Linked DNA regions of Caenorhabditis elegans. The protein of the gene in region 2 interacts with the protein of the main gene of each other region in a pairwise test. Each region holds a gene or a part of one and is shown on either strand. Other genes may lie near its edges.

The links. Proteins that work in one complex are often made in the same cells at the same time.
Region 1: the proteins of Y41E3.7 (region 2) and C17E7.4 interact in a two-hybrid assay, tested with the Caenorhabditis elegans proteins (one large-scale study listed by BioGRID).
Region 3: the proteins of Y41E3.7 (region 2) and ZC239.16 interact in a two-hybrid assay, tested with the Caenorhabditis elegans proteins (one large-scale study listed by BioGRID).

What each region holds. Positions count from the first base shown.
Region 1 is NC_003283.11:3,889,572-3,897,000, reverse strand, and holds C17E7.4 (BZIP domain-containing protein), read right to left. Parts: upstream 4,148-7,429; 5' UTR 4,143-4,147; coding exon 4,065-4,142; intron 4,015-4,064; coding exon 3,379-4,014; intron 2,933-3,378; coding exon 2,656-2,932; intron 2,611-2,655; coding exon 2,507-2,610; 3' UTR 2,428-2,506; downstream 1-2,427. Other genes in the region: sre-9 (Serpentine Receptor, class E (Epsilon)), read right to left, coding at 1-7, 251-403, 544-612, 1,091-1,248, 1,943-2,040; C17E7.12 (uncharacterized protein), read left to right, coding at 4,995-5,113, 5,782-5,926; C17E7.9 (uncharacterized protein), read left to right, coding at 6,140-6,339, 6,755-6,838, 6,896-7,022, 7,070-7,241, 7,294-7,375, 7,426-7,429.
Region 2 is NC_003282.8:15,012,346-15,020,541, forward strand, and holds the start of Y41E3.7 (Golgi resident protein GCP60), read left to right. Parts: upstream 1-1,689; 5' UTR 1,690-1,698; coding exon 1,699-1,807; intron 1,808-1,855; coding exon 1,856-1,923; intron 1,924-1,973; coding exon 1,974-2,044; intron 2,045-2,909; coding exon of another isoform or gene 2,910-2,991; exon of another isoform or gene 2,992-3,151; intron 3,152-7,560; coding exon 7,561-7,677; intron 7,678-8,196. Other genes in the region: qars-1 (putative glutamine--tRNA ligase), read right to left, coding at 176-511, 583-831.
Region 3 is NC_003280.10:3,222,343-3,228,685, forward strand, and holds ZC239.16 (BTB domain-containing protein), read right to left. Parts: upstream 2,978-6,343; 5' UTR 2,944-2,977; coding exon 2,833-2,943; intron 2,785-2,832; coding exon 2,428-2,784; downstream 1-2,427. Other genes in the region: ZC239.13 (BTB domain-containing protein), read right to left, coding at 168-311, 362-472; ZC239.15 (BTB domain-containing protein), read right to left, coding at 1,203-1,408, 1,451-1,562, 1,876-2,145, 2,191-2,301; ZC239.17 (Potassium channel tetramerization-type BTB domain-containing protein), read right to left, coding at 3,140-3,538.

The DNA.
Region 1 (7,429 bases), on a different chromosome or scaffold from region 2:
TTAGATGCTGGAATTAGGGTAATTAGTCAACTCCGGGAAAAGTGGGTCTCGCAACGAAAAGCCTTCTTGCTTGATATAGACCATAGGCCTACAAAGGAACGGTGCCTGCCCGAAACTTTCCGGCCTTTCTGAATACTGGCGTGAGTTCAAAGATTGATGATTAGCGCCCGACATTTTTTTGGGTTCTGCGCCGCACTATACAGAAGGCGCGGCAGACGTCTCTGTGCCTATATGGAAGCCCCGTTCTCACCACGATTAAAGTGTATTCCCACAGATGCTGCTGTTGCCCATTGAAACATGACAATAAATGTTCCAATGCACAAATTTGGTTTTTTCTCGTAACTCTCCAGCAAATACGTTGCAAAGCTTCTCTCGATGACCAAAGCTGGCAAAGCGCAGAACGCTGGAATTTGAATTAGTGGGGTATTGTGTATAGTTTTAACACATTCTAGTTTTTTCAGAGATTAAAGTTTTAGAAAAAAATGTTATATGTAGATTATATATAACACCGTTAGCTTTAACAGTTTTGATCTGAAAACTCACCATAAAAAATCCCAACAATTCTGACATAACTACAAAGTGTGAAGAGGCTATTGCCAAATTTGTCAGAATCTGAAATCATTCAAAAATTGTAAAAATTGAACTCAAAAATTTCAATGTATTTTGTATTTTACGAGTTAGATTGAGTCATATTTGTCTCAAAAAGGTAGAATCATCGTTTGATCAACAGGAATTGAATTGCATGACGTCACACGTATCGTAGAGTAAACTTGTGTGACGTCATTAAATTTAAATTATTGTAAAATATCGACCAAGGTTACCGAAAAATAAATGTTTTTGTTTGTAATGTTCAAATAATAATATAATTCTTGTAAACATAAACCAAGAAAAAAAACAGAATGTTTATAGAAAATAGTATAAGAAGCATTTAGATTTAGGTCGTGCTTTTATATATAGGCACCAAAACGCCTTTCTGCTTAACCTTAAGTTTTTAGGCAGGCGACAGGTTTTAGGCAGGCGTCAAGCCCTTAAACTTGTCTACTACTCCTACCTAGATCAAAGCAAATGATGTTCATGCAATGTGACTCACCGTCCAAACCTTCCCTCAAAATGATGAATGGCTGAATTACCCAAAAGCTTAGTTGAATCAAGTATTGTCCGTAATAGAAAGCGTTGATAATTCGAAAATTTGGATGCATGTTTTTTGCGGTGAGTATCACTAAGAACCAGAAGCTTATGGAAAGAAAACTGAAAATTTGTAATTGAACAAAAGAAAATACAGTCGCGACAGAACGATCGCTCCGCCAATTTTGCATGCGGCAAAGGGGCGTGGTTTATTGGGGACGGGATTCCGGCGCAACCCTGCGGCACGCTTTTTTCTCGCTTTTTTCGTGCGGTAATTTTCAGCTATTTTTTTTCGTTTTCTGTTCGAAATTTCACGATTTCGCTCGATTTTGTTCGTTTTTTCGCATAAAAAAGTGTTCAACTATTTTTTAAATGAAAAATAACCAAGTTTTCACAGATTTTACCCGAAAAATGCTTTGTTTGTCTCTTTTTTTGTAAATTACGATTGTTAAGAGAGAAAATGGGGGGAAAAAAAGGAAAATGTGAAGAGAAAACGTTTTTTTTTAACGTTTTGCATCGTATATTACAGAAAAAGAGACAAACGAAGCATTTTTTCAAGTAAAAACTGATAAAACTTGGTTATTTTTCATTTAAAAAATAGTTGAACACTTTTTTATCCGAAAAAACGAACAAAATCGAGCGAAATCGTGAAATTTCGAACAGAAAACGAATAAAAATAACTGAAAATTACCGCACGAAAAAAACGTGCCGCAGGGTTGCGCCGGAATCCCGCCCCCAATAAACCACGCCCCTTTGCCGCATGCAAAATTGGCGGAGCGATCGTTCTGTCGCGACAGTATAACGCGGAAACTCATACCTAACAATAATAAGCAAAACTTCAAATATCAAAAACCCCTGGAAAGTATCCCAGCTTCCGACCTGAGCAGCATGGGTTCTGTTAAAGTATCCGAGCATCTCTGGAATTTTTATGAGCAATTTCTAACAAAAGCGAGGTAAAACTGAATAAAAAATATAGTAAAAGTAAATGTAGTTAGGCGAGTTAGGCAATGTTTGGCCGATATACATAAATACGAAAAGCGGAAATTATCGAAGACGACCCACACGAATTGTGTCCCTAGTGACGGTGCCCGGCGGCAAAAACAATATCTCTCAATATATTCGCTTTCTGTGAAATCGGCGCGAAAAGCATAAAATCGAATATAACATGAATTGTATTCTAATGGACTTGTTATCCATTGAGGACAGAACGAAATGAGGAGGGAGCGTGAAGAATAGGACGAGAAAAAAAAATCTAATCCCTATAAATTGAGAGTTGTTCGATTTTTTGATTCATCGTTCTTTCAGGACTTACTAGCGGTTTATTAAAATTGAAAAAAATAGAATTGACAAAATACAAAGATATACATTAATTAATAAATAGTTAGTTAGTATTGGAAGCCTGTGGGCTTGAAACAAAATAGTCCTGCTCTTGACGATAGTTTTTGACCTCGTCCTCGTCATCATTGTCGTAGGAATTTGTGGGACCTGAAAAAATGATAGAATGTTTAGAAACAATTTATCAGAACCTACCATTAGAAAAGTTCTTGAGAAAACTGACGTCCGACGGATTAACAAGTGATTCGCCGGCGCCATCGCTCCCGTTTGTCGTCGGCGTGTGGCTCATCGAGCTGCTGCACAGCGAAGATAGGTTCTCATTGTACAGGTAGCTTGGCGGTCCACTATTGAGAAAATCCATGGAACGATGAAATGGAAGTGGCGGGTTGGGATAGGCGAAGCTTCGTGGAGCAGGAAATTGTGGAGTTTGGAATGGAGATGGCAGCATTGGATTTTGGAGATTTTGCATAGACTGAAAATATGTTTTTTGATAATTTAATAATATTGGTGGCCGCTAGCAATCTAGAGGTCACGAGTTCAAGCCCTTCCTCCCAATAGGCTCACCCAGATTGAGAAGTAGAACAATTCATTGTTGGTTTCTACAGTCTTCGGCTTAAACTCAGCTAAAGCTAAATACCAGGGGAACCACCACCCAGAAAAGGTTCCGATCTCTAGTGTCTAGGACACCGTATTTTCTGAAAATGCAATCGTGCCCTAATGGGAAAATTGGGAGTGGCGAGGACCTTTAGAGATGGATGGTGCAGGCCTAGAAGGATATTTGAAATTAACGTGATGGAGCAGGGTGCAGGGAAATAAATCGTTGAATTACCTTTACCCGAGAAGAATTACAACTTAAAATTTTGCAAAGAACTTGGAGCATATATGGTAGGCGAAAAAATGAAGGCCCCGAAACTCTACCTGAAATGCGCCATAGCTCGGAGACATGGTCTGTAGTTGCTCGCACTTGCTCTCCAATTGCTCACATTTTGCCTTATACCGTCTCATCTCCTTCTTGTACTGGTCTCGTTCCTTTTTCAACTGCTCCAGTTGTTGAGCCGACGCCATACAATAGGCCATATTGGACATCACGCTTTGAATGCTTTCTCTCTCCTGTTCATACCGTTCCTGCTTTCGCCTCTCCTCACGCCGTTGTTTTTCCGAATTCTCCCATTTTTGCATGTAGTACCGGCTTTTTCGTTCGAGCATCGCTTCATTATCCTCATCATCACCTTCTTTTTGATCTCTTTTTGCAAACTCCATTGATGAGGATTCCCGAATTTTATGATTTCTAGATCCTCGCTCAAAGTCATCAATTTGGAAATCTTGCCGGCTCGAGCTTGAAGCTCCAAGTGGGAAGGTCCTGGGCAACTTGTTGGATCTACTGTAGGCAGCAGCATTGAAGTCATCACGGCCGCCCGGACAGCTTTGAGGCCCTTTGCGAAGTTTCGGTGCACTTGTCGTGTGATAGGCGGCAGTCGGTGGGAGCATACAATCATCGGCAAAACGGGCGGTTGGCTGACGTTTCAGCGACATTGAGCGTACGCACGGATTGAACTGAAACCGGGGGGAATCGATTGAAATAATATTCGATAAAAGGTACAAACCACTGTGTAATCGTCGTCGTTTTCGTTTTCCTTTCGGGACTTTTTGCCCTTGAAAATTGTTCGAAATAGTCCAGCCATTTTCTAAAAATCTTTTCATTGCTTTTTGTGGAGATAAGCTTAGGAAATTAAAATACATTCTTATTTTTTAAACGGGAAGAAGAGTAGCTGTGAGAGTTTAAAATTCAAAAAGAAAAACTGTTTCAAAAAAAAAATCGATCCGTCCAAAACTAGGTCATCCTTTGCGGGAGAAAGACGAAAACAACTGGGCTCTCCTCTTCCCTCATCTTCTCATTTCCCGCCTACCACTGAAAAGGTCAGAATTCTGCATACACCGTGACGCGCACATGAACAGAACCGCAGTCGCGCGGAGGAGGAGGAGGAGGGAGGTCCCATGTTTGTGTTTTTGCGCGCGCGAAGGAGGGACTATTTGACCCACAACGCGGGCGCTCAGGTTTTGTAATCATTTTCTTTGTTTCTTTTCTGTTGTACTCCTCTGTTGCGGTTTTTTATTGCCACGTGAATAGACAACACTTTTTGCTCAGTTTTTTTTTTTGAAATCTTGAAATCTTGAAATCTTTTTTTGAAAGTTTGAAAAATTATCTCGATTTTCTCAATTTTAGCTTGCGTCTGGTGCCACTCTTCAACTTTTTTTTGAGTTAGAGACTTTCTAGATTTGCAAAATAGTTTCTCAACTCATTAAAATCATTAGGAGTAAAAAAACAAACTTGAGCCGAAATACATGATTCTGAGAATCTAAGGATAAGTACCTAAACTTGAGAAGTACTCCTCTTGTGTTAAATCCTATAATTTTTATAATACGTATATTTGAAATTTCAAACAATGTGACCAAAAAGTGGTGTCAATTTTTCTCCGTATTTTGTTTGTTTTCTACCCCTCATTTCATTCAAACAAATTTTTTTTGCAGCAAAAATGGATAATGTTCTAAACATCAAAAACGAGGAGGACTGGAAATTTGTGCTCCCCACGTTTGGACCAGCTGCCGGAATCACACTTCTCGTTGCTGCCGTCTCCTTCTCCTGTCTGGGATAGTAAGTTTCTTTGTTTTCCTACCGGTGTAATCGCGCGCTAATGAGAAAGTTGAACGACAAGGGGACATGGAAGGGTGCAGCACGTGGTGCCAGGTTGCCCAATCACGGTTTGATCAACAAAAAATGCGGGAAGTTTCCGGCCAAAAAAATGTGACGTCAGCCTGATCTTAACCATACGAAATCAGTTGAGAAGTCTGCGTCTCTTCTCCCGCATTTTTTGTAGATCAACGTAGATCAAACCGAGATGGGACACTCTGACACCACGTGGTGGCAACATATTACGAAACTATGAGATCATGAGAATGCCTATTGACTGGCCCGAAAATATTGGCAGGCCGCAGCAGCGAGAGAGCGTGTGGCAAAGAGAGACGCAGGTCCCTTCGCTACGAGATATTTGCCGTCAGAAAAGTAGGCATTCTCATGATCTCGTGGTTTCGTAATAGAGAGATTACTAAAAAATAGCGCAGTGGTGCATAAATCAAATTTTGACTTCACGGGCACTGAAAAAATCTAAAAATCTTAAACCCCCGAAACACGTGAAATATTTTTTCTCATAAGTGTGACGTCACACTGGAAAGTTCTTCCATGACGTCACACTACCGTAAAAAGAGGTTTCTATTTATTCTAGAAATCCCATTGAAAGCATGTAATGTAAAATTAATTTTCAGTCATTTCTACCGAAAACGCCAAGCCGCCATCGAGGAGTCCAAACGTCAGGGAGCTGAAAACCGACAGATTCACGAGAACATGCGAAGAGAGCGAGAAGCCAGCATGTCGCCACAGGACATGCCTATTGAGATGCAAAATTTCTAATTGTCACTTTTTTTGAATTCTAATCTTGAAATATAATCTTGATCTCAAAATTCTTTGTTCACAAATACTTCTTAAGTTGTGTATGATGTAAATTTGATTGATTTTTGAAATTTGCGATTCCATTTTTCATTAATTTTAACCAACGACAGTTTGATCTGGAACATACCTATGATCTATGACCAATTTTCTTATTGTTTTCATATCAATTTTTAGATGCGCTGGCTCGTGTGGCTCAGTCTGTTCCTGCTCCCCATCGCTACTTCGAAGGTTACTCAACAGGAGGCGAAACCAACATTCTGGCATTCGGATCATGTGTACGGTCACATCGCTGAGTTCTTCTGGTGCCGAACAAAGAAAAAGGCCGAGGAAGCAGGCGAGCTTCTTGGTCCAGTTCGACAGGCTCTTTTTGAACAGTGAGTTGGGTTTTGAATTAATCCATGATCGTCAGGCTACCATATTATTTGAGGTCCTTATTTTGACATTACCTCTAGAAAATTACATTCAAAATTGAATTTTTCAAAATTTTGACTAGGTCAGGTTTCAGTAGACCTTCTTGGCTAAAGGTCTAAAAAGGTTTACCAACTTATAGGTCATTTCCTGGGGTAATTTCAAAATTAGGACTCCAATTAATATCATGGGCTGACATCTGACGGGTTCCCAGCTCACTACGAGGTAATCTTAGTGCGGAGCAGAACCCGGTAGATGTCGGGCCATCAAATCATTTGGGGTTCTTATTTTGGCATTACCTCTAGAACATAACCCTAAAAGTGAGATTGTCCCAAGGAAAATTTTTTATTTCAAGTCACGGGTTTCTAGCCTTCCTCACTGAATTTTCCGCGCTCCATTGACAATCGCCTGCCGGACAACGCGTGGGAAAATCGTGTACTCCACACGGAGAGATAATTGTCTGGCGTAGGTGTTCCAAAGTTTGCCTAGAGTCTTGATCAACAGCACACACACATTTTTCAGAGGCAGTGCGCTCAATGAGATGCTGCGAGCGGAGAACCGAGGTGAAAATTCGCAGGTCATCGTCGAGATGGTTGTTCTGCAAGAGGAGGAGAAGTACAGAGACTGGGACCCGATTTGGATTCGAAAGGTACCGCCTAACTGTTCAGCTTGATAAAACTGTGTTTCCAATTTCAGAAAGAGCCGTATGGCTTCTCGCGTATTCGAATTTTCATCAACGAGCCGTCGGACAGCGAGGTCAGCAAATTCTGCAAAACCTGGCCATATCCGACGACTGGTTTCCCGACTTTGGTGGCAATTAGCGAATTCTTCTATGCTCCCGTGTTGGTTTGCCAATTTGGAGTTCCAAGTTAGTGAAGAATTTATTTTCCTCAATACTTTAGAAAATAATAATTTTTTAGCGTGCGATCTTGGCAAGATGCTCCTTATCATTTGGATCATTGTTACTTTTGCCATTGCTTTCTGCGTCATGACTTGCTCACTGTGAGTATTTTGATTCAATACATATATGAAACCAACATTTCAAATTTTAGGTGG
Region 2 (8,196 bases):
CGCACACTTATTTCGCAAGCCTCGCACGCTTTTTCTCTTGAAAAGAAAACGCGCGAGGCTTGCGAAGTAAGCGTGCGGCGGTTGCGAATTCCTCCAAATTTCCGGCAAAAGTCCTGAAAAATGTAGATTAAATTCAATAATTTTTTTCAGAACAGTACGGAATTTCAGGCCTTACTTTCGGGCCTTCCGGCTTCTTCTCCTTCTTCTTCGGAGCCAAATCCTCCGCAGTCTTCGGTCCGAGCAGCTCCAAGAATCTCAAATCCACCTCCTTCTTCGTAATCGCACCATCAGCCCATGGAAGCAGAGCTCGTAGCTCGCCGAGCAACTTTCCGGCCGGGAACGAGTACCGCTCGGCGACGATTTTCTCGCGGTGTTGGCCAATCACCTTGGTAACGGCCGCTTCGATGTCGTCGATTGTGACAACAACGCCGACTCCGCATGATTTCTCGAAATCAGGCACTTGGATACCTTTAACGGTGTGCGAGAGAAGATACTCGATCGCTGCGGAGAGCTGAAATTTTTTTGAAATTTGGAAATTTAGCTGTTTTTTTTTTAATTTGAAATTTAATTTTAATTACAAACCTGTGGCTCTGTCTTAATCCCGTCATTCATAATATACTTGACAACTAGTGGAGTGTGAGCAGCGACTTGTGGCTTCAACTTTGTCGCCAACTGGTACAAAAGTGTTCCTTTTTGCTTGGAAATCTCGCCAGACTCGCTCGCAAGCTTCACAATTGAACCGATCGTTTCGGTGAGCTTCACATTTTTCAGCGTTTCAGCTACTTTTGAATCAGAGAGGCCCAAAGAGAGAAGCTCCTCCTTTGTTGCCATTTTTACCCTGGAAAATTTGTGAATTTTTTTGAATAATTTGAAGTTAGAAAGTGGAGAAGCGGAAGAAAATTCTAGAAAATAAATGTTTTTAAAGAAAGTCCAGTTTTCCGTTTTCTGAGTTTCGCGGAAAGTTGCAATCTATAGAAAAACTGAAAAAAAAGCAAATCGCTTCCTGAAACAGCCTAAAAAACCTTGAAAATACAAAATTTAGGGAGAATTTAGAAGATTTTTCGTCGAATCTCGGGAAAATCTTGAATAATTGAGTGAGAAAACAGTTTTTACAATAAGGAATTATGATAAAGTTGCAAACATCTGGAGAAATTCCAAATTTCTTGATTTTAGCCGAATAACCCTAAATTTTTCAGTTTTTTCCGAGTTTTTCGCGGGATTTGAGTTTAAATACAATATTTCTATATTTTTAATCAAATTTTTAGCCTCAAATCTGGAAAAAATAATTTTAAAAAAGCCAAAAAACCACTGGAAAACTTTTAAAATAGGCTTTTCCTTGCTAATTGCAGCTGAAAACTGCAAAAGTGTGCATTTTCGCGTGCCGGTGTTTACACACAAAACATCACAAAATGGTGTGCCACATCGGATCCACGTTCATTTTTTTCAGCGTTGTTCTTCGTGTTTTTGCATTAAAAAGTTCTGAAAATCTGGATTTTTTATTGATTTTTACTTCGAATTGTGATCTTTAATCTAATTTCTATGGATTTTATACCGAAAATGTCGAAATTACATATGAAAATTGCTAGAAACCGGCTGCAATTCTCATTTTCTGATTTTTATCTGATTTTCTTTCCAGTTTCCCCTTGATTTTTATTGCGCTCTGGCATTTTAAAAATCAATTTTCGCACATTTTCAGAGATGGCCGACGAGAACCACGTCCGTCTAAGCGAGGTTCAACTGATTCAGTCGGAATTCGGACATTCTCTCGAGGAATGCTACAAGCTTGCCGTTCAATATTATAAAAAAGGTATTTTTTGATTTAAAAATTCTTTTTAAAAAATGAGTTTTTTTCCAGAACACGTCGGGAAACAGGAGCCTGTTGGATATGAAGATCGCATTAAATTGCTCTCGTTGAGCAAACAAGTGAAAATTCCAGTTTTAAAATCAAAAATTAAATAAAAATTAAATTCCAGGTCCAACATGGAGAGATTTCCGATGAATTTGACAACGCTGGATGGCTAGATATCACTGGAAACGATGTGAAGTGGGTGATTTTCAATCAAAATTCTAACAAAAAAAAAGAAAACACTCTATTCCTTTTCCAATTTCCCCCCACACCCTCATTTCTCGAAAATGATGAACAAAATTGGAGAAAAAAAAGAAGAAGGACACACGAAGACGCAATCTCCAAAAAATTTCATTTTGTTTTTCATTTCCTATTCTATTCCAGGATAGAAATCTCGGAGAATTGGCAACTTTTCTTCTGATTTAATTAATTTTTAGCGGTTTTTCTTCAGAAATTTGATCAAAAATTGAATCGATCCGTGAATTTTGCACAGAAAAAGAGGCGGGGCGTAATTTTGCAACCCTGTGGCACCGTTTTTTAATGTCGATTTTACTAGTTTTATTCTTTTTTTATCGAATTAAAAGGTTATCCAATTAAATTCTAGTAATTAATTTAATCTGAATATCCTTATAATCTTATGAGAATTAAATTTTATAACATTTTAATTCGAAAAAAAGATAATATGACAAGTAAAATCGGCATTTTATTGAAAAAAATCAACAAAAAGTGGAAAACGAGCTCCAAAAAAGAGAGAAAACGCTGGTTTTCTGGCGAAATTCACAATTCTTCCACGCAAAACTATGTAGCTGAAAATTTCAGAAAGTTGGAAAAAAAATCCAATTTTATAATTTTTTTACAGTTTTTTTTTACAAATTCAGTTTTCTAGGCTTCTCTTCTGGCGCCCTCAAGCCATTCTCAAACTTTAAATGAATTTTCCAAAATTTTAGGCTAAAATCCTCCAATTTTAGTGCCTTCTCCTCTGAAATTAAGCAGCAAATCTGAAAAAGCTGTCAAAATAACCTATTTTATGGCAATTTTGCACCTCAAATAGAGCCGTTTTCAGCGATTTTTCGAACTTTGTTGCTCGTCAGTACAAATTCGTGTTCCTCCTCCTGCTCCACCACTCGCCGTCTTGTTTCGTCTAATCCATTTGGGACGTTTATACGTGTTTTGTGTGTCCCGGCGGCTTCTTCCTTCACTTTTGCTACTAGAAATTATTTCTCTTTGAAACCTCTGTCCGAAATATATTTTTTTTTGCTGGACGCCTTCTTTAGAACCTTTTCAAGTGTGGCCAATTATCGTAAAAGCAGGCGGTGTGCAAATTTGATTTTCGAGAGAGAAGGAATGTTCAATGTCTACCAGTTATTTTGGCTTTTTCCAAGGATTCGTTCAGTTCTTTGACGAATAACAGCCCCACGGGGTTCTGGCCTTCCTCATTGAATTTTTCGCGCTCCATTGACAATCGCTCGCCGGACTCCACACGGACAAATACATTTACATAGTTTTTCAACTAAAATCGAGCCGCGACGCGACACGCAACGCGCCGTAAATCTACCCCCGAGCCAAAATGACCTAGTTCGGCAAACTCTTCCATTTCAAGTTATGAGGGAAGCCAGAAAACCGTGGCAGCCCGAAAGGTCTTCTACTTTTGATGCTCTCGGAGCTCTGAGCCAAAAAGCCCCAAATATGGATACAAATCCATCATGAGCTCACCTCATAAGAGCCGGCTCTCCTAATACTCATCAGTCATTTTGTATTCTTTCCTAAAGAGATAGACATACATGTTTTCAAAAAAGAAAAGAAGTTTTTGTCGAGAATTCGTCACAAATTGATTTTCAGCCTCTTTTGTCGACGAAAATTTCAGCTACACCCACCAATTTGGCTCTCCTCCTCCTCCTGCTCAAGAGGAGCAACACTGAAATCTCTGGAGAATTGGGTGGCTTCTTCCTCTCCTTTCATTCCTTTTTGCCCTATTTCTCTCGTTTTTCCGTCTGTTAAAAAGTTGACGGCACATCCTTCTGTTTTGTTACTTTGTTGTTTTCGAGGCGGTTTCACAATTGTCTACGGTATTTCCTGATTACGGAACTTTTTTCTGCGTGCGGATTCTGAGTTTTTCACGGGGTTCTGGCCCAGATATGGCAGAGCCAAAATGGCCTAGCTCGGCAAACTCTTTCATTTAAATTTATGAGAGGAAGCCAGAAACCACGCGACGCCAGACTGTCCCATCACGATTTGATCTACAAAAAATGCGGAAAATTTTTTCCTCTAAAAATTGTGACGTCAGAACGATCTCAACCATGTGAAATCAGAAGAGATGTCTGCGTCTCAACTCCCGCATTTTTTGAAGATCAAATCGGAATAAGACTTTTCGGACTCCATGCGGTGCACCCGTAACGTGACTGAGATCGTGGCAAGACCCACTTATCATGTCAAATTTTCGGGAAAATGTCCTACCGTACTTACTTGAAGGAAGAACCTCTCATCAACATTCTACAACCAAAATGTAGTCCTCATTGCAAGAAGAAATACGTCATATTTCTCTGTCTATCTACATTCCAGTACTTGTGTCTGATAATCAGGAAGTGCTGATATCCATTCCGTGTTTTTCTCATGACACTTGCTTTTTTTTGAAGAGAAGTCACCTTCGCCCTCCAGCAAAATTTAAGGTTTTCCCACGAGGATATCCAGCGTTTCCTCGTGTTTCTTTAGTAGTAGTTCACTTTTTTTCTGGTTTTGTTTTCGTTGGATTGCTTTCCTTTGTGGAAAATCAAATTTTCTACCGAAATTTGTGTGGGGATTCTCTCGCTACTCTGGTCTGTTCTTCTGACTCACGTTTTCCGTTTCTTTCCATCCAAGAGACGTACAAAAGTAGTAAGAGTAAACACACAGACGAGGGGAAGAAGCTTCTTCCTCCCTTTTTTTCTATTCGCCAAAATTGAATTTGTGTGTAGCTCCGCCGTCCCGGGCGGACTTCGCCTTCTTCCTCAACCCAAAAATCTAACTTAACAAGAAGGGAAAAAGAAGTGACAAGGACGCGAGGAATGCTAATAAGATGATGGTGTTGGAAGGGATGTGGGGACGACGACTAGTTGGACAGACGACATCGGCTTCTTCTTCTTCTTCCGTTTTTTTTTGTCAGAAGATAACGTCTTCTTTGACAAGACGGCAGGGATGACAAGTTTTCAACCTTTTGTTCTTGTGCTGTTTGGAATCGCAACTAGGGCTGTGCGGCTGATGACTCGGCTGATGGAGCAAATCAACGTTTTTCAACGTAATAGCAATGATCAATTAGGGAATACTTGTATTTGCCATATCGGCTGAGTCTTGAGCTTCTAATTCTAGAAAAAAGTTTTTAAAAAAGTGCACACCCCTTCCAGAAAAACTCGTTTTTCCAATCAGCCGACAGCCGACAGCCGAGTTACTCGGCTGATTCAAAAAGCCGACTGTTTTGTCAAGGTGTGTGCACTTTTAAAAAAAACTTTTTTCTAGAATAAGAAGCTCATGACTCAGCCAATACTGCAAATACAAATATTCTTTAATTGATCAGTGCTAACACGTTGAAAAACTTGATTGTCTCCATCAGCCGAGTCATCAGCCGCACAGCTCTAATCGGAACCTACCTGACAACGGTAGAAGGTTTTGGCCACTGTCTCCTTCTTACCAGGTTCTCTGAGCCCGAGGTTAGATCTACGTAGACACGTGGTGTGAGCCTGTCTCATTGCGGTTTGATCTACAAAAAATGCGGGAATGTTTCCTCCAGGAAAGTGTGACGTCAGCACACTCTTAACCATGCGAAATCAGTTGAAAAGCCTGCGTCGAATTTTTCGAAGATTAAACCAAAATGGGACACTTTAACACCACGTGCGTAGATCTACGAAAATGGCGGGTATTTAGACGCAGACTTCTCAGCTGATTTTGCACGACTAAGAGCTTTCTGACGGCACATTTTTCTTGGCGAAAAATTCCCGCATTTTTTGTAGATCAAACCGTGATGGGACAGGCTGACACCACTTAGCTATTATGTTGCCGGGTTACTGTAGTTGACGAGAAAATGATCTACTCAACATCTTCAACTCTTCCGATATAATTGCAAGTCTATAAAAAAAAATAGATGACTATAAAAAGCGGCTATTTGTCCGAGATTTATGACTATATGTCTATCTACTCAACTGAAAGCCTTTTCTGAGTGGTCATAGATCAAAATTTGGACGAGTTGGTAATCAAATTGTGTGGTAAAACCCAACTACCCAAATGAACTTTCGGAATTCTTGTCTTTTTTTCAATTTTACAAATTAAGGGTCTCCTCCTCTTCCACCCAATTTTCAAGTGTTTTTGTAGCTTTTGAGCACTTCACTTGGCTTCTTCCTCCTCCTCAAATCCTGAAATCCTCTCTCTCTTTCTCGGCTAATCCTTTCTCTTTTTGAGCTGACTGAGAGGAAAATGAGTGAAAAATTTGCTGCTTTTCCTACCTTGAATAACACAAGAGTGTTCCTTTTCTTCCCCTTTTTTCTTCGATATCACCTATTGGCGGGGGTGTCTGATGTGCTCTTTTCTCCGGCTCTTTCCCTGTGTGCATGCACTTTTTTTTTGCGGAATAGAAGATGTAATTGATAGATTTGAGAAGGTGTTTGGTGTGTCACATGCCCCATGAGAGAGAGAGAGATGGAGTTTTCAGCACTTTTTGGTGATCTACTCCCTGCTTGGGCGCTTTTTGATTGGCTCCAATTGTTGGGCTCGGGGCGGTCTTGAAATTCTGCCCCAAAAAAGATTTCCAAAAAAACTGGAAATTCTTGCATTGGATTCGCTATTTTTCCGTTGAGAAATCTCATTTTTTGATTTGAAATCATCAGAAAGTACTGTAGGATTACTGTAGTTTTCTTGTTCACTCGCTTTCAATGCAGTGCACAGAGCAGTTTTACTACGTGGCCGTGCGAAATAGAAAAACTCGGCCACCCAAAAATCGCCAAGCTTCTTACAGTGAAAAATCAACGATTGGGCGAATTTTTGATTTTTCTAGGCCATGTTCCAAAAACCGCTCTTATGGAATTCAAGTAATATTGCAAAATGTAATTAAACACATTTATGACGTCACAACTGTACACGGTGGTGTCAGAGTGTCTCATTTCGGTTTGATCTACGTAGATCTACAAAAAATGCGGGAGAAGAGAGACGCAGAGTTCTCAACTGATTTAGCATAGTTAAGAGCGTGCTGACGTGAGTTTTTTGGGCAAAAATGTCCCGCACTTTTTGTAGATCAAACTGTAATGGGACAGCTTGGCATCACGTGCCGTGTGAAATCAATGATTGGCCGGCCGAGTTTTATGATTTTTCTAGGCCACGTACCAAAAACCGCTTTCTTAGATCTGTTGATCTAGTTTTTCCGCGATGTTTGCTCGAAATTTTCCTGCTAAAAGAGCCAAATTGCGAATCTGAGTGACCTGGCCGAGTTTTCTCTCTCCCCAACGGCCACGTATTACATACTTGGGCTCTTTCATGACGTCATTATCTCCAGTCCCGCATGATGATAAATTGAATGTTGTTCTGTGTTACATCTCGAGATTATATGACGAATGCTTGCTCTTTTTCTATCCCAATCGAAAAACAACTGAAACCTAATAGCCAAGCTTGAAGTAAAGAAGCTCAAGCGGTTATTTCTTCGTTTTTTTTCCATTCCGTTACGTATTTAATCTTAATTTTTTTTTTCTTATTTTCAGCAAAGCTTGGCGTGAGCTGGGCTCGTTGTCCCGCGACGAAGCGATGGCCTCGTTCGTCTTCCTCGTCGATCGTGTGTGTCCGCCGTTCAAGGGATTCATTGCCGATAAGAAGGCTATGTGAGTTTTGATTTTTTTTTCAGTTTTAATTTTGAATTTTTTGACCCTAAAAACGTATACTTTGATCACTTATAAAGTATATAGTCGCATTGAATAAAAAGAAAATTGTTGGCAATAAACATTTGAGTAAAAGTGAATAACAAGTAGAATTAGAACTAGGAAAACAGAAGGGATATGATGTAAAATCATTCATTTTTTTATTTTCTGATGGCATTTTTCCGACAGCATATATAATTATTACTAGAATATGGTGAGCTACGGTGTAGATGTTACTGAAAATAACTGAAATAGTTTCGTAACTCTGAAATTCCTGACTTATTCTGTACCAAAAGTAACGTATTGATATACGAAAATATTCCCCGAAGAGCCTATTTGAAGCCTGAGAGGCATTTTTATTTTTTATTGTGAACGATAAAAGAAGCGCCTTTTCTGGTACTTTTTGAAATTTAAAACAAAAAACATTTTAAAATTGAATACCATTATAACTTTTAAAAACATTAAAAATAAATTGTTAGACCT
Region 3 (6,343 bases), on a different chromosome or scaffold from region 2:
AATACTCCCAATAAAATGAAAACTCAATTTATTTCAGTTAAACAATCACTTCCGTGAAATCCAAGAAGGTTTGGATATCCATGGAGGTGGGGGAGAAGATACAGAACAAGTTCGTGCGCTTTCAATAATTGGTAGCTTTTTAATATTACCCAATTCAATGAGTCCATTCAGCAAATAATATTGAGCCTCTGCCAGCAATTCTTCCAATTTTCGGGAAGTGACAGGTCACCATCTCTCATGAAATTTAAAATCCTGTTAAAATGTTTCGGGGAGCGATCGATAAAAATGCATCCGGATTCGTCAAGTTCCAGCTGAAAATTTTCAAGTTTTCAAATCAGGTAAGAAATCAATATCATGAAACCCCTGTTCCAGATTCCAGCATAGTTTTAAAAATGCTATCGAGTTTCATTAATGTATCTTTTGAAGTTTTGAAAATAGTTCCGCCAACGTCTAGTTTAACAGTTTCACTCATTTTTGAAAAGTTTTTGAGAGGAAAAAGAGAGAAAAACGGAGTGAAATTGTGTTATCAGTGAGCCGATCGATTTTGAATTATCAGTGTTGCGAAATTTTGTTTTTTTTTTTACAAAAAAATCAAAAATGTTAAGAAATAAAAAAAAACTTCTGAATTGAAAATATTGTCAAAAAATCCACAAAATGAGTTAATTATCTCTTTCTCTGCTTCTCCAAATACAAATATTGACCAAACTCCCCAATCATTTTTTCTAATTTTTCCAAAAAAGTTGCATCCCGAATTATCCGTCCGCCTCGATTAATTCGAAGATTGTGCGGAAATTGACTATAATATCCATTCTCGGTAGATTTCCACTTTATCCTAGCTTTCCATTTTCGAGAAGGTTCGTCTTCACTCAATCGCTCTTAATCGATTACGGTAATCAGACCCTTTCACATTCAAACATAGTTTTGAATAATCCATCACATTTTATTAATGTCGGTCTTGAAGTTTTAAAAATAGTTCCGCCGATGTCTAGTTTAACAACCTTGTTCATATTTTAAAATAGTTACGGTTTGAGGCACAGATGCAACCAAACTCAAAAAATAAAAATAAGAATGTTTGTTATCAATCAGACTTTGAACTTATCCATGTGTTTTGTGTTTAAAGATAAAAAAACAAGCTTACTAAATTATAATTTTTTAAGCTTCTAAATTAGAAATATTGTCGAAAAATCCATAAAATAAGTTAATTATCTATTCCTCTGCTTCTTCAAATACTCATCAAACTCCCCGATCATTTTTTCCAATCGTTCCAAAAATGTTGCATCCCGTATTATCCGTCCACCTCGATTAATTCGAAGATTGTGTGGAAATTGACTGTAATATCCATTCTCAGTAGGTTTCCATTTTATCCTTGCTTTCCATTTGCGAGAAGGTTCGTCTTCACTCAATCGCTCTGAATTGACTATTTTATGAGGATAATGTACAAAAAACTTACGAAAATAAATATCGAACTGATGTGAATACTTTTCCATGAACTCGTAAAGATTAAAGTTATAGGGAATCGACATATCATTCCCAACCATGCAAAATTCAATTATGAGCATTGGCTGTAAAAATTATATGTAGAGCTGAAATTTTTTGAAGAAACTGGTTAATTATTTTATGATTGACAAACGCCATACAGTGTGGCCTTACTATTAGGACTACAGCTTGCACTGGCCTATAGTTTAAGCCACGTCCTAGCCAGGGACTGTGGCCGATAATACAGTCATGGATTGCTCCACTCTCCAATACAGACTGGGTGAACCTAGGGGATGAGTCTAAACTTGAAACCGCAACCTCTAGCTTTCTAGCAGCTACCACTACCGACTGAGATATTCCTATGAATTTGAAAAACTACATTATTTTATCGAAACTCACCTTCTGTTGAACAGCAAGAATTTGAAGAAATTGTTCATCGCTTTCAATAAATCGAAGTTTTATCTTTGGAGCTTCAACAAGCTCAATCTTTGAATTGCACAACTCAATGAGTCCGTCGAGCAAATAGAATTGAGCTTCTACTAGCAGCTCCTTCAGTTTCAATTCACAATTGGGTAGAACCACGTCGCCGTCTCGCATAAAGTTCAGTATCAAGTCGAAATTTTTCGGAGACCGATCAATAAAAATACTCCCAGATTCGTCAATTTTTAGCTGAAAATTTGAAAATTTATCGGGAAATTTTTGGAAAAATCGGACCCCAATGTCACTCTCCAACATAGTTTTGAAAAATCCATTGAACTTTGTTAATGTAGATCTTGAAGTTTTGAATATAGTTCCACCAACGTCCAATTTCACAGTTTCACTCATTTTCGAAGAGTTTTCTAGGGGAGAAAAAGAGAAAGATGGAGTAAAATTTTGTTATCAGTTATAAGATTATCGATCAGTACATATTTCAAAATGATTTTTTTTAACAAAAATTAAAATTTCCAACAACTAAAAAAGATAACATTTATTTCTTTTTTCAACAATAAAATAGCCTTTTAGTGCAGGCATGTAATACACAAACACTAAAACCAAAAAAATTATTGAAAAAACAAAAAACCATGATAAATCATATTTTTTAGTGTTTGCTCTTTGATCAATTTGGACCTTTTTTGTAGAATTAAGTTTATCACAGCACATTAAGACTAGACCATCCAACCAGTAGAATTGAGCTTCTGCCATCAATTCTCTCAGCTCTCTTTCATCTTCTGGCAGTGGCAGATCACCATCTCTCATTAAATTCAGAATCAATTCAAAGTGTTTCGGGGACCGATCTATGAAAATGCATCCGGTTTTTTCAATTTTCGGCTGGAAATTTTCACGTTTTTTTTTGGAAAAAAACAACGATTTTCATACCCCAGTTTTGCATTCCAACATAGTTTTGAAAAAGCTATGGAACTTTGTTAATGTATCTTTTGAAGTTTTGAATATAGTTCCGCCAACGTCTAGTTTAATAATTTCACTCATTTTTGGAGAGTTTTTGAAAAAAATTGTAGAGGAGAAAAAGAGGAAAGTGAAATGAAGGTTTGTTATCAGTGAGTCGATCGATTTGAAGTTATCAGTGTTTTCAATTGATTTTTTTCCATACTATAATAGGTTTACGTTCGGGTCTGTTCACATTTCTATGATAGCATAATACAATGAAAATTGCGTTTAATAGCCACTAAAATAGGTAGCATTTACTAGATTTTTCAACAATAAAATAGCTTTTTAGTGCAGGGATGTAATACACAAATACCAAAAAAATTAATGAAAAAACAAAAAAACGAGTATAACTATTATTTTTAGTTATTGGTTTTTGATTTTGAATCATTCGGAAGTTTATTATAGTGCTAAGTTTCACACCGCACTTATTGTACAGTCCAAACATCTGATAGTAATTTGCTTCCGCACACAACTCTCTCAATTCCTTCTCAGTTTCGGGCAACCACAGATTCCCATCTCTCATTAAGTTCAGAATTAACTCGAAGTGTTTCGGGGAACGATCAATAAAAATGCATCCGGATTTTTCGAGTTTCGGCTGAAAATGTTCAGGTTTTTGGAGAAATATAGTCAGCAACATTATACCGCAATATCACTTTCAAACATAGTTTTAAAAAAGCTATCGAGTTTCGTTAATGTATCTTTTGAAGTTTTGAATATAGTTCCACCAACGTCTAGTTTAATAATTTCGCACATTTTTTGGAGAGTTTTTAAAAAAATTGTGGGGAAGAGAAATGAAGAAAGTGAGATGAAGTTTTGTTATCAGTAAGTCTATCGATTTGCAATTAACAGCCATTTTTATATTTTTAACAAATTTTAGGAAATAGTGGCGGTGGAGTTTTTTTCAAGACATGTATAGAAAACTTTCCGATTTCCGCTTTTGCAAATTGTGCAAAATTTCTGAAGGAATTTTTATAAGAAAAAACGGATGACACATATTTTTGACATTTTTTCTCGTTTTCAGCAAGAATTCTAATATATTTTTTCTCATTTTTCATGTAAGATACGTGTAATTTTGCAGTTACAACTGAAATTTCAAAATTTCCAATAAAAAATGCAATACCTCAGTCGAAATTTTTCGGCAATTGAAGTTTTTGGCAGCTTCACAAAAAATTGAAAAATTTCCCATATTTTTTGAAACCAGCAGTTTCCGAAGATTCCAATTGCCAAAAATTTTCAAAACACTACAGTTTAAAATTGGGGTTATAACTTCATTTTTTTTTGTTTTTATAATCATACAGTGTGGGAAAGTTCTATAGGACCCCCCCTAATTTGAAGGTTTGAGGAACTTCCGAAAATTTTTTCGAAAAACTGCTAATGCCGTTCGTTTTTAAATTGAAAAAAACCTATATAAATTTTTTTCCAGAAGTTTATCTCAAAAACTGAGGTCGCGCTGGAAAAAACGTCAAAATCCAGTGTGAAACTTCTATAGGACCCCCCGTTTTTTTTCACGATTTTTACTAAAATCAACAGATTTTGGAATTTTTGACAAAGCTCAAATCAAGTTTGAGTTAGAAATGAGTTCATATAAGCAGTTTTGACTTTAAAAAATTAATACGAAATGTTCTCGTGGGATCTCCAGACTGGTTCTGATTCTTCCGATCTTTGATGTTCAAGTCTGTTTCAAGCTTCCTGGTGCTCTCGGTAATGCCAAAACTTGATAAACTCTCTTTAACAAGTTCCTACTAAAATTCCTAGCACGCACTTTAGATGTTTCGACTGTGTAGTCAAGCTGATTTGGCAAAATATGCAGCAGGAAACAATGGAAGGCTTATCAGGAATCAAATCGTTTTTCTTTGATTACAAGGTTCCATGGGACCAATATTTCAAGTTAAATTGTCCCTCACAGATGTTATTTACTATTTTTTGCGTGAATTATTAAATGTGGAATTGTGGCATGTGTTGTGGCACACATATAGAGGCTGGAAAGCTTACTTCGAAAGCAGTCTAACTTGCAATGCCTCGAGGATCTGCCCTTTCGGACACTGAACGCGCTCAGCTGGATGTTATGAAATTGCTCAATGTGTCCCTGCATGAAATGAGTAGGAAAATTTCCCGTTCTCGACACTGTATTCGCGAGTATCTGAAGGATCCGGTGAGCTACGGTACATCTAAAAGAGCTCCTCGTCGCAAAGCTCTCTCCGTGCGTGACGAACGAAATGTGATTCGTGCTGCCTCCAACTCCTGTAAGACGGCAAGAGATATTCGCAATGAGCTTCAATTGTCTGCTTCAAAAAGGACCATCCTCAATGTCATCAAACGATCTGGTGTAATCGTTCGTCAGAAACTTCGCCCTGCTCCGTTACTCTCTGCAGACCATAAACTCAAGCGATTGGAATTTGCTAAGAACAATATGGGAACGAATTGGAGTAAAGTGAGAATTTAAAAAAGCAAGAGTGAATAATTAGGATCATTGTTTTAGGTTGTCTTCTCCGATGAAAAGAAATTCAATCTCGATGGGCCTGACGGTTGCCGCTACTATTGGCGCGATTTGCGCAAGGAACCAATGGTTTTTTCGAGACGTAATTTTGGAGGAGGAACGGTGATGGTTTGGGGAGCGTTCACGGAGAAGAAGAAGCTTGAGATACAGTTCGTCAGTAGCAAGATGAACAGCACTGACTATCAGAACGTCTTGGAACTGGAGCTCTCCAAATATCTTCGTCACTACTCCAGAAAAGACTTTAGATTTCAGTAGGATAATGCGACAATCCATGTGAGCAACTCAACCCGCGACTATTTCAAGCTCAAGAAGATCAACCTTCTTGATTGGCCAGCTCGAAGTCCTGATCTCAATCCAATCGAAAATTTGTGGGGGATTCTTGTCCGTATCGTGTATGCTCAGAACAAGACTTACCCAACAGTTGCATCGTTGAAGCAAGGAATTCTCGACGCTTGGAAGTCTATTCCGGACAACCAGCTGAAAAGTTTGGTCAGATCAATGGAGGACAGACTGTTTGAGATCATCCGCACACAAGGAAACCCGATTAACTATTGATCCTTTCTTGATTTTAGTATATGAATGTTCTGTTGTTGATCAAAAATAACTGCAACTTGTTAATACGCTGTTTCTGACTGGTTTCTTGGGGATGGCGTAAAAATGTTTATGGTGTGTGTGCTAGGAATTTTAGTAGGAACTTGTTAAAGAGAGTTTATCAAGTTTTGGCATTACCGAGAGCACCAGGAAGCTTGAAACAGACTTGAACATCAAAGATCGGAAGAATCAGAACCAGTCTGGAGATCCCACGAGAACATTTCGTATTAATTTTTTAAAGTCAAAACTGCTTATCTGAACTCATTTCTAACTCAAACTTGATTTGAGCTTTGTCAAAAATTCCAAAATCTGTTGATTTTAGTAAAAATCGTGAAAAAAAACGGGGGGTGCTAT